3 linked regions of the Oryctolagus cuniculus genome follow. The protein of the gene in region 1 purifies or fractionates together with the protein of each later gene. This does not show direct contact. Links are inferred from orthologs where the notes say so. Each region holds a gene or a part of one and is shown in the gene's direction. Other genes may lie near its edges.

The links.
Region 2: the proteins of TSEN2 (region 1) and TSEN34 purify together in Homo sapiens (affinity purification with mass spectrometry; 3 studies listed by BioGRID and IntAct, counting the BioPlex papers as one, with this or other methods). This does not show direct contact. The link is inferred for Oryctolagus cuniculus from reciprocal best matches to the Homo sapiens genes TSEN2 and TSEN34.
Region 3: the proteins of TSEN2 (region 1) and TSEN15 purify together in Homo sapiens (affinity purification with mass spectrometry; 4 studies listed by BioGRID and IntAct, counting the BioPlex papers as one, with this or other methods). This does not show direct contact. The link is inferred for Oryctolagus cuniculus from reciprocal best matches to the Homo sapiens genes TSEN2 and TSEN15.

Annotation. Positions count from the first base shown.
Region 1 is NC_091441.1:114,767,761-114,772,291, reverse strand, and holds the start of TSEN2 (tRNA-splicing endonuclease subunit Sen2), read left to right. Parts: upstream 1-1,525; 5' UTR 1,526-1,656; coding exon 1,657-1,742; intron 1,743-4,531.
Region 2 is NC_091449.1:4,517,893-4,522,283, reverse strand, and holds TSEN34 (tRNA-splicing endonuclease subunit Sen34), read left to right. Parts: upstream 1-1,386; coding exon 1,387-1,629; intron 1,630-1,705; coding exon 1,706-1,931; intron 1,932-2,006; coding exon 2,007-2,264; intron 2,265-3,530; coding exon 3,531-3,718; downstream 3,719-4,391. UniProt on the Homo sapiens protein: Constitutes one of the two catalytic subunit of the tRNA-splicing endonuclease complex, a complex responsible for identification and cleavage of the splice sites in pre-tRNA. It cleaves pre-tRNA at the 5'- and 3'-splice sites to release the intron.
Region 3 is NC_091444.1:1,816,487-1,820,727, forward strand, and holds the start of TSEN15 (tRNA-splicing endonuclease subunit Sen15), read left to right. Parts: upstream 1-1,335; 5' UTR 1,336-1,415; coding exon 1,416-1,490; intron 1,491-1,960; exon of another isoform or gene 1,961-2,774; intron 2,775-3,549; coding exon 3,550-3,631; intron 3,632-3,916; coding exon 3,917-4,052; intron 4,053-4,241. UniProt on the Homo sapiens protein: Non-catalytic subunit of the tRNA-splicing endonuclease complex, a complex responsible for identification and cleavage of the splice sites in pre-tRNA. It cleaves pre-tRNA at the 5' and 3' splice sites to release the intron.

The DNA of each region.
Region 1 (4,531 bases):
GCTGTTTGCAGAACGGAACTATCTGGAACAGTGACAGTCGTGCGTGTGAAGCTATGCCATGCACGCGTGACGCAGCATTTCCTTATCGCTCGGCGCTGCGGACTTAAATGCCGCTTCTCTGGGGTTGTTTTAAAACCGTCCAGCAGGGGGCCAGCAGCATCTACTGAGTGAGTTAAAGACGCAAGATGTCCATCCAAGATGCGGGGGTGCGGAGACCACGCACTACACGGTCCTGTCCGCTTCGGGGAAAACCTGAAAAATGATGAGAAAAGGTTATTTACAAATGTACGGTGAGGGGCGAGCCTGGTGGCACAGCCGGGCCGGCAGCTGCTTGGTTACCCCTGCACCCACCTTGGAGGGGCTGGCGCTGGTCCCACCTCGGCTTGCGATCCGGCTTCCTGCTAACGCACCCCGGGAGGCAGCAGCGATGGCCCAGTGCCGAGCCTCACGTGGGAGGCCCAGATGGTGTTCCCAGCTCCTGGCTCAGCCTGGCCCGGCCCTGGCTATGGTGGGATTCGGGGAGCGAACCAGCGCGTGGAAGATTCTACTTCTCTTTGTCCCGGTGCCTTCCAAATACCTCTTTTAAGTTTAAAACACTGATTGTACGTCGAGGAGAAAATCTTGGGGAAGAATCTCTTGTTCAGTGGCTTTGCTCCCAACCCTCCGGGTGGACAGGGCTCCAGGTGACGTCACCTGAAATCCCATAACCAGTGAATCCCAAATCCCGAAACGACGGGTGCCAGGCCGGGAGGCGGAGACCCCGGCTGTGGTCTCGGCCTCTCGTCGGACCTGCAACTCACAGCCCCCCTGGGACCAAGGGAGGTGGCGGCGACACCTCAGAATTCCCGGGCTGTGGTTCAGCCGGGGCGCACAGGTGTCTGCGGGGGCCCGACAGGTGCGCCCGGGGCCGCGCTGCACACAGAGAAAGCAGGGGCCGCCTTCAGGGCCGGCCTCAGAGGGTCCTTTCCCCCAGGTCTGGTGGCCTCAAGGGTCCCGTGCCTCCGGGGGGCGAGGACTCTAGGTCTCAGCTCCATGACCTGTAACGGTGTCACTGGGTGACACTGGACAGGCGACTGCGCGCCTCGTCTGTGAAATGGGTTTGTGAGGGGGAGTGAAAGGAGCGTAGCATCTGTACAGAGGGGTTGTCCGTGTCATCTCGGGCCAGAATTCGCGCCGCCCGGGTTAGAGAGCACGCGAGGAGGCGAGCCAGGTGCACAAGGGCCCCGCCTACAGGCCTGCGCAGGCGCACTCCGCCAACAGCCGAGGGGCGCGCCCGTGAGCTCTGCGGCTGCGCAGTCGGCTAGCTTTGCGGCCGTGCCGCTTTACGGCAGCGGTGTTGGCGCCCCGACCGGCGTTGCCGAGGTTACGGCGAGCGCGTGGAGCCGAGACAGGTAAGGAGGCCGGGCTGGGAGCGAGCGGGATGGAGGCTCGGTCAGCGGGGCGAGGGGGAGGCGCCCGAGGCCGGACCGGCGAGGGCCGGGTAGGGGCCAGGCTTCCGCGTGCTGCCGGGCGCCGAGTCCTCCGCCCGTTGCTGCGGACGCCGACGCCTCGTCCGGCGCTGGCACTGCCCCGTGCGCCCGGCCGTCGGCCTGAGGGGAGCCGCGGCCGCTGGAGGGTCGGGGCGGGGGCCTCCCCGAGGAAGGAGGGGGCCGAGGAATGCGGCTGGCCAGCGCCCGGCCGCGGCCCGCGCGTGCGTGTGTCCGCCCGCGGTGCTCGGGCTGCGGCTGCTGCGCGCCGCGCAGGTGTGTCTGCTTCGCCCGTCCTCCTCGCCGTCCGCGGGTGGAGCGTCCAGCGTGCTTTTCCCTGGGGAGGCTGCGCGGCTAGGCGCCCCGTTGTTCCCCGGAGGGGAGAGTAAGGAGCAGGCCTGGCTTGTTGTTGTAAGGTTGATTTATTTGACAGGCAGAGCGGCCGAGCCCAGCTGGCGGCAGCGTTCGGGCCAGGTCTGAGCCAGGCCAAAGCCAGGAGCCGGGAATCCGTCCTGGTCTCGCGCACGGGGCGGGCAGGGGCCCAAGCACTGGAACCATCACCAGTGACTCCCACCCCGGGCACACTCGCAGGAAGCCGTGTCAGAAGCAGAGCAGCCAGGACTCGAACCCGGGGCTCCGACGGGAGGCGTGGCTCAAGCAGCTGTTGAACCGCTGGTACCGCGTTGCCAGCCTTCACCCTTGCCCACCGTGCACACACGAACACCACTCCCAGGCTGGTTTCTTCATCTGTTCACTTCTCCGCCAGAGAACCTGCAGTGGGGGCTGGCGTTATGGCTGAGAGGGCCAAGCCGCCGGTCGTGACCCTGGCACGCCATACGTACTGGAGTGCCAGTTCAAGTCCCAGCTGCTCCGCGTCAGGGTCAGGCAGAGGGTGGCCTGGACGCCGGGCGCCCTGCCACCCATGGGGGAGACCAGCGTGGAGTTCCTGGATCCTGGCTTCCGCCTTGGCCCAGACCTGGCTGTTGCAGCCATTTGGGAATGGATGGAAGATCTCTCTCATCTCCTGCCTTCTCTCTCTCTCTGCTTTTCAAATAAATAGATCTTTAAAAAGAAAAGACACTGCAGTGGTGTCAAGTCGAAGCCAGTGTTTGCACCGAGAGCCCTGACTGCTGAGCCAGTCCTGCCTGTGGGTTTAGTGGGCGCGGGTAGTGTTCCTGGTGGGGCTGGGCCCGCCCACCTCGCAGGCCCCTGCTGGCCGCACGGAGCTCTGTTTCCAGGCAGTGAGGCCGTGGGCAGGTGACTTGCCCTCTGTGCACCTGTGTGTGCCAAGCGAGTCTAGTTTTTCCCACTGGCACCCCGCGCCTACCTGTGGTGGTACAGGCTCTGGTTTCTCGCTCCCCCCACCGGTTGCGTCGGCACTGAACACTGCGGGTAAGGGGGCGGCCAGTGCAGTCCTGCCTCTGCTTTGTCCGCCGGCCCAGTGCAGGACACCTGCTCTGTGAAGCCGGGGACGACCCCGCTCCCCTGCGGATGCTGTGTTCCCTGGAGAGCTTGCTTTCCGCCCTTTGAGGAACCTCACGGTGGCGGCCGTGATGCTGCCTGAGGTGCAGCTTTACGGAGACGCACAGCTCCCACAACCCACCCTTCTGAAACGTGCGGGCCAGAGTCACCGCACTGTACCTAACGCGGGCATGTCTTTACTCCACAGGCCTGTATCTGCTGGCAGTCACCCTCCCGGGTCCCCCTGTCTCTCTGTCCCAGCAGCTCCTGGCCTGTCTGCCCCTATGGACTTGCGTGGGATTCGTGGTCTCCCAGGGGGCTTCTCCCACTTAGCTCAGTGCTTCCAAGGGGGGTCAGAACGGCGTTGCTTTCTTTGGTGAATACGATTCCGTCGTGCCGATGGACCCCGTTTTGTTGCCCAGTCATCTCTTTCTTGATGGACGTTCGCATTGCTTGGTTTCTCCTGGGCTCCTATGAATAATAACGCTTCCTGTGCAGATCTCTCCGGGAGCCTGTCTGCCCTTTTCCCCGATCTGTACTTGGGAGTGGTGTGGCTGGGTTACATGGTAACCATTGGATGACTGGACAGGGAACTGGCAGGCGGCGCTCTAGTCCTGTTGAACTTCACCTGTTGAAGGTGAAGAAACGGCTGAGAGGGGTGTGCAGGGTGACACGCTAACGCAGCCTGTGTGTATGGAACCGCCTTGCTCCTGCCGTCACGAGGCCACAAGTGTCTCCAGACTTGGGTTGTAAAGTGATGGCAATATTTTGAGGCAGGGACCCTTCTGTTGCATACGTGGGTTGGAACACAGTCGTCCCTTGACACCCATGGGGATGGGTTCCAGGACCCCCCGTGGGTGGTGAAGCCTGAATGTTCAGTCCCGTCTCTGAAAAGCTGTAGAATTTGCAGAAAACCTACACGCGTGCCCCTGTGTACTTTGTTTTTTTGTTCAAAGATTTATTTATTTATCTGAAAAGTGGAGTTTCAGAGAGAGGGAAAGGCAGAGAGCTTCCGTCTGCTGGCTCATTCCCCAAATGGCCCCAGTGGCTGAGTCTGGGCCAGGCCAAAGCCTGCAGCCTGGATCTTCATGCAGGTCTCCCACGTGGGTGCAGGGACCCACGCGCTTGGGTTATCTTCCACTGCTGACCCAGGTGCACTAGCAGGGAGCTGGATCAGAAGTGCAGCAGCCAAGACTCGAACCAGCACCCTTATGGGATCCTGGATGTCAGCGTCACAGGCTGCAACTTAACCTGCTGTGGCCCAATGCCAGCCCTCTCCTGTGTATTTTAAATCCTCTTGGGTTACATAGAATATCTAATATGAGAGTCCACCAAAAAGTTTGTGAAAAAGTGGATTTCAAGATAGGAATAAAGGGGGCCGGTGCTGTGACATAGCAGGTAGAGCCGCTGCCTGCAGTGCCACCATCCCAGATGGGTGCCAGTTTGAGACTCCGCTGCCCCACTCCCACCCAGCTCTCTGCTATGGCCTAGGGAAACAGAAGATGGCCTCAGTGCTTGGTTGGTGGGATGCACAGATGGGAGCCCACAGGCATGGAGAACTCAAGTGTGGAGATCTTGGCCCAAAGGAAAAACCATAACCAAAC
Region 2 (4,391 bases), on another chromosome or scaffold:
ACAGGGCTAGGCAGACACGCGCAGCACGAGTCCGCGGGGCACCCGGGTCCGCATCTGCCGAGCGCGGCCCGCGGGCCGCGAGTACGTGAGGGGGCGGGGCTTCGGGCTCCGCGGGAGGAGGGGACGGGCCCGGGAAGGAGGCGGGGTCTGGAGCTCGGCGCTCGGAAGGAGGCGGAGCCTCGCTTCGGGTTCCCTCGGTCCGCGTCGGAGGTTTGAGCTCACCGCTTCGAGGTGGGGCCACAAGCTTCAGCTTACTTCGGCGGCAGCCGAGTGCGCCAATCGCTGTTCGGATGTGGGCGGGGTCACGAGCTTCGGCTTACTTCGGAGGTAGCCGAGTGCGCTAATCGGGGTTCGGATGTTGGCGGGGTCCCCAGCTCGGCCGGATGTGGGCGGGGCCACGAGCTTCGGCTCCCTTCGGAGGTAGTCGGGTGCAAGTGCCCCGCGTTTGCGACTGAGCGTCCAACCTCGTTTTCACGGGGGGCGGGGAGAAAGCGACCCCCGAGGGGGCGGCGCTCTGAGGGCCGCGTGCGCCGGGGGCAGGAACGGGGTAGAACCGGGGAGCCGGAGGGCTGCGGCTGGGCGGGGCCGAGGGGTCCGGGGGCGGGGCGGTCCCAGCCTCCCGCCTCGCTGAGGTGGCGGAATGACGAGTCTGACGCGGGGGGTCGCCATGGGTGGGCGGAGGAAGCCGCGCGAGGCGCGCTGCGTAGGGGGCGGCTCCACCTCGGTCGGGACTTGGTGTTTACCAGGAGACCAGCTGCTTTTACCGGAGGACGGCGGGACACTCTGAGGGGAAGCAAGGACGCGGACGGACAGCTCGCAAGTGAGCTGACCCCGCCCGCGCGAGGGACGGCGGGTGCGCGGGGGCGGGGCCTCTGGCTTAGGGGTTCGGTCGTGGGGCGGGCACTCCCCGACCCGGCAGCCTGGCGGGGGGCGGGCCCAGGCTGCAGGATTGACAGGTCCCGAGAACTCCCGAACGCTGAGCGCCCTGCGCTCGGGAGGGGGCGGGGCTTCGAGCACGGAGAGCCGAACCCCGGCGGCTCCAGGGGAGTGGCCGAGCTCGGGCTTCCGGGAGGGGGCGTGGCCTCGGCGGCGCTCTGACGGGCAGGAGGCGGTGCCAAAGGTGGCCGCCCCGGAGGGGGCGTGGCGCCGCGCCTGCGTCGGTTTCTGTCTGAGGCGCGAAGGCACGGCGGCGGGTCCTGCGGTGGCGGCGCCGAGCGAGGCGCCGACCGCCGGGTGCGGAGGCTGTGCCGCGGCCAGGGCGAGGTCCCGCCCCTCCGAGGCCCGCGGGCGGCTCCGGGGCCGGGGCGGGGCTCCGGCGCGACCCCCGGGCGGCCGGCGGCGCCGCGCGGTTTGAGTGACCGCCTCGCCTTCGGCTCCCGCAGGAGGATGCTGGTGGTGGAGGTGGCGAACGGGCGCTCCCTGGTGTGGGGGGCCGAGGCGGTGCAGGCGCTGCGCGAGCGCCTGGGCGTGGGGGGCCGCACGGTGGGCGCCCTGCCCCGCGGGCCCCGCCAGAACTCGCGCCTGGGCCTCCCGCTGCTGCTGATGCCCGAAGAGGCGCGGCTGCTGGCCGAGATCGGCGCCGTGACCCTGGTCAGCGCCCCGCGCCCGGATCCGCGCCAGCACGGCCTGGTAAGGGGTCTGAGCCCGGGACCTCGGGGTCGGGCTGCACGCTGGGCGCGGGGCTGCAGCTGAGTCCGCCCCGCAGGCTCTGGCATCCTTCAAGCGCCAACAAGAGCAGAGCTTCCAGGAGCAGAGCGCCTTGGCCGTGGAGGCCCGGGAGGCCCGGCGTCAGGAGCTGCTGGAGAAGATCGCGGAGGGCCAGGCCGCCAAGAAGCAGAAGCTGGAGCAGGAGGCGGGGGCCGGCGGGGCGCGGGAGGCGGCCGCAGGGCAGGCCCAGGAGGGCCAGGCTTCCGGGGAGCAGGAGGAGGCAGGTGAGCGCGGGCCTGACCCCGGGGAGTGCAGCGTGGGGGCCGGCGACCGAGCCTAACCTCACCCCCCTGCCCCAGCCCCCTCGTCTTCCCAGCCAGGGCCTTCCGGTGGGGCGGCCCCCTTGCCCAGGTCCGCTCTGCTCGTCCAGCTGGCCACCGCCAGGCCGCGACCGGTCAAGGCCAGGCCGCTGGACTGGCGCGTGCAGTCCGAGGACTGGCCGCACGCCGGCCGGCCTGCCCACGAGCTGCGCTACAGCATCTACAGGGACCTGTGGGAGCGCGGCTTCTTCCTCAGCGCCGCGGGCAAGTTCGGCGGCGACTTCCTGGTCTACCCAGGTGAGTCTGGGCTGGGCCCCGGCCGCTGCACCGGGTCCCGGCGTAGTCGGCCTTTTTCCTTTTTTTTTTTTTTTTTGGTTTCTTCTAAAGACAGAGCAATAGAGGGGTCATGCATCCATTGGTTCATTCCCCGCATGGCTGCAAGTGCCAGGGCTGGGCCGGGCCAGGAACTCCATGGGGTACCCGGGCCTCCCACGTGGGTGGCAGGGATCCAGGGACTGGGCCATCTTCCACTGCCTCCCCAGGCGCATCAGCAGGGAGCTGGGTCCGAACAGAGTAGCCGGGACTGCAACCGGGACGCTGGGATTTCTGTTTGCCTCACATTTTTCCGACTTTTGAAACTCTTGGAAGGACAGGAACCACTGGGGAGCCCCCAAGTTCACTTAGGAGGTGGTTTGGTAGCTTTCATGAGATGTTTCCTGTGACCCCCAAGGCTCACTTGGAAATCTGTAGACAGCTGCACAGGAGTGCCCCCTGCAGGATCATCCGCAGCATTTAGAGATCGGGAGACACAGGGCCAGCAACGCGGCCTCGTGGGTAAAGCCACCGCCTGTGGTGCCGGCCTCCCATGTGGGTGCTGGTTCGAGTCCCGGCTGCTCCACTTCCGATCCAGCTCCCTGCTAATGCACCTGGGAAAGCAGGGGAAGATGGCCAAGTGCTTGAGCCCCTGCACCCACGTGGGAGACCTGGAGGAAGCTCCTAGGTTCTGGCTTTGGCCTGGCCCAGCCACTTGGGGAGTGAACCAGAGGATGAAACACCTCTCTGTCTCTCCCTCTCTGTAAATCTTTCAAATAAATGACTATATCTTTAGAAAAGTTGGAAAACAGCCAAAGAGATTATTACTAAGTTAGCAGTCAGAAAACAAAGCAATAGCTGTCAGAGGTTGATGTAGGCACCGGCACCGGGAGCCGAGCGGCAGAGACGCGCCCACCAGGGGCTCTGCCGACAGTGCCAGCGCGGTGCCGTCCCGGGGCTGCCCGAAGCCCCGCCTCCAAATACCGGAGCCGGAGCAGGCTCCGCCGCACCCCATCGGTCCACATTAGCCCCGGGGCTTTGGGGTTCTGCGTGAGTTTGGGGGGCCACGTCCTGGTCAGACCACGGCAGCGTCACCGGCGGTTCCCGGGTGGGGCTGGGAGGCCGTCCACTCCACATTTGGTTGTTTGCGTCGGATAGCGACGAGGAAGGATAAGAGCGATCGCCCCCCTGTGCAAGTACGGCAGCCGGGGCCGTGTCGCTGCCCGGCGCCTACCTGCCTCTCTCCCTCAGGCGACCCGCTCCGTTTCCACGCGCACTACATCGCCCAGTGCTGGGCCCCCGACGACCCCATCCCCCTGCAGGACCTGGTCTCTGCCGGCCGCCTGGGCACCAGCGTGAGGAAGACCGTGCTGCTCTGCTCCCCACAGCCCGGCGGCAAGGTGGTCTACACCTCCCTGCAGTGGGCCGGCCTGCAGTGAGCGCCCTGGCCCGTCGGACTCTGCATCCTTCCGGCTCCCCGCCGCGAGCTCTCAGTGGCTGTGCTGGTGTCGTTGTGACCGGTTCCCAAACTGTGGGCTTCTGGGACCCGGCGTGTTCATCTGTTCCTGCAGGGCCTCGGTCCCAGGAGGCCTCAATAAACTTGTGGACTCACCCTGAGTTTGTGGCTGCAGTCCTGGGAGGTGACATGTGGGTGCTCCCATCCGCGGGGACAGCTGTGGAGACGGCGTGGGGAGGCCGGGCGCCCTGCCCCGGTCCCCTTGCGCCGCAGAGGTTGTACAGAGAACACTGTGCAGCCGCTGCGAGTTCAGGGCTCAGAATTTGGGGGCGTCAGTGGGGGCTTCTAGAATGTTTCCGTGTCCTGGGTGGTGCTTCAGAATTGTTTTGATGTTGTTTACTTACACGTGTATTTAAATGTTTATCTCCTTTCTATCTGAGAGAGACATCTCCCATCCACTGGTTCACTCCCCAGACGCCCACAACGGCCAAGGCCAGGCCAGGCCAAAGCCAGGAGCAGGCAACTCCGTCTGGGTCTCCCATTGGAGTGGCAGGGACCTGTGCAGCTGGGCCGTCACCTGCTGCCTCCCAGGGAGCTGGGGTCAGAAGTGTGGCCAGGACTCACACCCAGTGCTCCAGCAGGGGCCGCGGCATTCT
Region 3 (4,241 bases), on another chromosome or scaffold:
TCGCTGGGGACCACCTGGTCCCTTCAGCGTCCCTTTCCTGTGTTTCGCACAGGGCACTCAAGGTCCATCAGACGTGTGAGCTGCGGGACATGGGCTCCTGCTCCCTCCAGCGTGCGTTTCTTGTGACTGCGATGGGTGGTGCAGGGTCCATCAGAGGTGCGCGCTCCTGGGTGTGGGACACTTGTTCCCTGTGACTTTCCGTGGGAGGCTCAGGGGTGGCCCTGCTGCTCCCCCCGGCGTCCGTGTCCCGTGATTCCATGTGGGAGGCTCAGGGGTGGCCCTGCTGCTCCCCCCGGCGTCCGTGTCCCGTGACTCTCCGTGGGAGGCTCAGGGGTGGCCCTGCTGCTCCCCCCGGCGTCCGTGTCCCGTGACTCTCCGTGGGAGGCTCAGGGGTGGCCCTGCTGCTCCCCCCGGCGTCCGTGTCCCGTGACTCTCCGTGGGAGGCTCAGGGGTGGCCCTGCTGCTCCCCCCGGCGTCCGTGTCCCGTGACTCCGCGTGGGGAGGCTCAGGGGTGGCCCTGCTGCTCCCCCCGGCGTCCGTGTCCCGTGACTCTCCGTGGGGAGGCTCAGGGGTGGCCCTGCTGCTCCCCCCGGCGTCCGTGTCCCGTGACTCTCCGTGGGGAGGCTCAGGGGTGGCCCTGCTGCTCCCCCCGGCGTCCGTGTCCCGTGACTCTCCGTGGGGAGGCTCAGGGGTGGCCCTGCTGCTCCCCCCGGCGTCCGTGTCCCGTGACTCTCCGTGGGAGGCCCGGGGTTGGCACTCCTTCCCCCAGCGTGTATCCTGCTCCACTTTCCCACGCGCACTCCGGCGGCTCTGGCCCGCGAGCTGGGGCTCTCCTGGGCAGGCGTGCGCCCCCCGTCGTCCCGCTCGCTTCCCGCACCCCTAGGCGGTGGCCCGGCGCACTATGCCCGGGAGTTCTGGCGGCTTCCTGCTGGGCCTCGTGCCCAGGGCCTGCCGAGTCCGGAAGGAGACGTCCCGTCCGGCCTGGGTCCGGCCTGGGCCTCTGGGTTCCGAGCCGCCCGCCCCGCGGCCCCTTCCTCCCAGGCTCCCGCGCTGCACCCCGCAGCGGCGCCGGGCCGGCGACCGCCCTCTCCTCAGGCCGCTTCCCCGCTCCTGGGGACGCGGCCCCTCATCCGCTCCCCGCATCCCCGGACGCGGGCTCTGAGCGCCGCGGCGGCCGCCTCACGCGGGACTCGGCCCGGCTCTGAGGAAACGCGGCGACGCCGGGAGGCGTCTGCGACTTCCGGTCCGGGCGGGCTGCGGGGGCAGCGGAACCCAGGCGCGAGGCCCGTGCTCCCGGCCGGACGCCGATCCGCGTGCACTGGAGGCGGAGCCCGGCGCGCGGCCCCAGCCGCGGGCCGCACGTGCGCAGCCGGGAGGCGGAGCCAGGCGCGCGGGTCGGTGCAGCGCGGCGCGCCATGGCGGAGCGCGGCGGCGACGGCGGCGCTCGCCCGTGGGCCCCCGAGGACGCCTGGATCGGCAGCCACCCCAAGGTGAGGGGCCGGGCGCGGGCTCCTCTCACGCGTGGGCGGAGACGCGGCCGGGAGCCGTGCGGGGTGGCGCGTGGGCGGGGACGCGGCCGGTGAGCCGTGCGGGGTGTCGCGTGGGCGGGGACGCGGCCGGGAGCCATGCGGGGTGTCGCGTGGGCGGGGACGCGGCCGGTGAGCCGTGCGGGGTGTCGCGTGGGCGGGGACGCGGCCGGGAGCCATGCGGGGTGTCGCGTGGGCGGGGACGCGGCCGGGGAGCCGTGCGGGGTGTCGCGTGGGCGGGGACGCGGCCGGGGAGCCGTGCGGGGTGTCGCGTGGGCGGGGACGCGGCCGGGGAGCCGTGCGGGTGGCGATGGGCCCGCGAGGTCGGGAGGGCCGGTTGCCCCGTGTGCCGAGTCCCGCCCCCGCCCCCCGCCCTCGCCCTCGCCCCCTCCCCCGCCCTCGCCCCCTCCCCCTCTCCCCCGCACCCAGGGCGGCGCGGTGTTGGGGGTCTCCCCCTGAGAAACGGGGTGACCACGGCGCGCACCGCGTGGGGCTCCTCCGGCTTAGGTCGGTGGCTGTTGGTCAGGCGTCTGCCGCGGGGAGTGGCCGTGCTGGTCACTCAGCTCGCTCTTTTACGTTTCTTAAGACTGGGGCCGGCGCTGTGGCGCAGCCGGTTAAAGCCCTGGCCTCCCATATGGGCGCCGGTTCGAGTCCCGGCTGCTCTCTGCTGTGGCCTGGGAAAGCAGTGGAGGATGGCCCAGGGGCTTGGGCCCTGCACCCGCGTGGGAGACCGGGAAGAAGCTCCTGGCTTCAGATGGGCACAGCTCTGGCTGTTGCAGCCATTGGAGGAGTGAACCAGCGGATGGAAGACCCCTCTCTCTGTAACTCTGTCTTTAGAGACTTTACCGTTTATTTGGAAGAGTTAGAGAGAGGGAGAGGGAGACCCGACCCTCCACCGTTCACTCCCCGGATGAGTGCAGTGGCTGGGGCTGCAGGATGCCGGCCACTTGGCCGGTGGTCAGTGGCCTGGTGGCCCGTGGTCGTGGCTTCCTGCGGTGTGCACAGAGCCAGCCCCAGGCTCAGCCTCCAGTGCAGGCCGTGATAGACTGAGCGTGGAGGCCGAGTTCCGCAGAGAACTGAGGGACTTAGCGTTTCCTGCCCAGCACTTTTCTCACTGAGTCCGCTCAGTCGGTTGTGAAGAGGCCCGGCCGGGTGCAGTGCGGGTCCGTGTGCAGACCTGCGCTCTGTAGACCTGGACAGCAAGCTTCGGAGCGGACGCACTCTGCAGTCGGGGAGAAATAAACACCAGTGGGTATCTGATTTCCGGCTCTGCCTTTGTGTGGCTCGGTTTGCCAGTGACTTAGGTCCGTCCGTGGAGCGTGGTGGCAGGGCGGCCCCCGCAGGCACCACTCCCCTGCCGTCCGGCTCACAGCCCCTCGGCGCCCCGTCGCGCGGAGGATCCGGACCTCTGGCGTGGCCCCGCCTGCGGTTGCATGGCAGCCCTGATCTGCACCTGTGCGCTGACACCCGTCTTCCCAGCCGCCCTCGCGGAGCTCGCCCTGCGCGAGCCCTGCTCGCCCGGGGACGCGCGGCCTCGGCGTCCCCTCGGAGACGCGTTCCCCCTGCAGCTGGTTTGTCCGCTTCGGTGACACCTCCCGGGCGTGGGGAGGAGGGGGCGTGGCGTTCCGGCAGTGTCTCCCCATGCAGGTGACAGGCCCCCACGAGACCCCGGGACAGCCCACGGCTGCTGCTGCGGGTCTCGGACGCGTGTGGCTCACCCTCACCTTGTCGACTGCTCGCTGTGGCTCTGCGTTGCTTGTTCTAAGGGCAGGGCCTTGGGCCCGTTCTGTCACTCACCGGCCACACCCCGAGGGGAGCTCCGTGTGTGGTCTCATCCCATCGCGGTCACAGGTCGTTTTTGCCCAGTTTGTGTGTTCTGACAGCTGCAGACCCTCCGGAGGCAGATGCCATCCTGCGTCGCCCTCTACCTTCTGTGCAGATAGCACACGTGCAGTGACACGCGCCCACTGGAGGGGCACCCGAGCCTCCCTTCCGCGTCTGACGCCCCCATTTTGATTTCCAGTATTTGGAGATGATGGAGTTGGATGCGGGAGATGCCACGCAAGTGTACGCAGCGTTCTTGGTTTTCCTGGACCTCATGGAGAGTAAGCCGCCCACCTCTGTGTGGACTGGGGCCGTGCTGGGGTCGGGCGCTGGGTTGGGATCTCCGCGCTGACGTTACGGTGAGCAGTCGCTCATGCATTTGCTGCTAGTTTTGTCAAGCAGTTTTGCAGCTTCCTTATCTTTTTACGTTGGGAATTATTGAGTAACAGAAACGCTAGACGAGTAGAGAAGAGGCCGGGGTAAGGGTGACATTGCCACATAGAAGTTCGGAGCCTTTACTTTGGCTTTTGATAAGCGGTCTTGCCCGTTCGACGCGGCTCTTCCAGGTAAAAGTTGGCATGAAGTGAACTGCGTGGGACTGCCAGAGCTGCAGCTCATCTGCCTGGTCGGCACGGAGATAGAAGGGGAGGGCTTGCAGACCATTGTGCCCACGCCCGTCACAGCCTCCCTCAGCCACAACAGGTGAGCGCGGGTTTTGGTCTTGGCTAACCGACAGTTCAGAAGCGAAGCAGCCGGGATTCAAACCCGTGGACAAGAGATGCTGGTGTTGTAGGCTTCGACTTAACCTGCCACACTCTAACATAGATCCCACATTCTTTTTTTATATTATTAACAGTAAATGTTTGTTGGTTGTGTTTTGAGTTTGTGAAT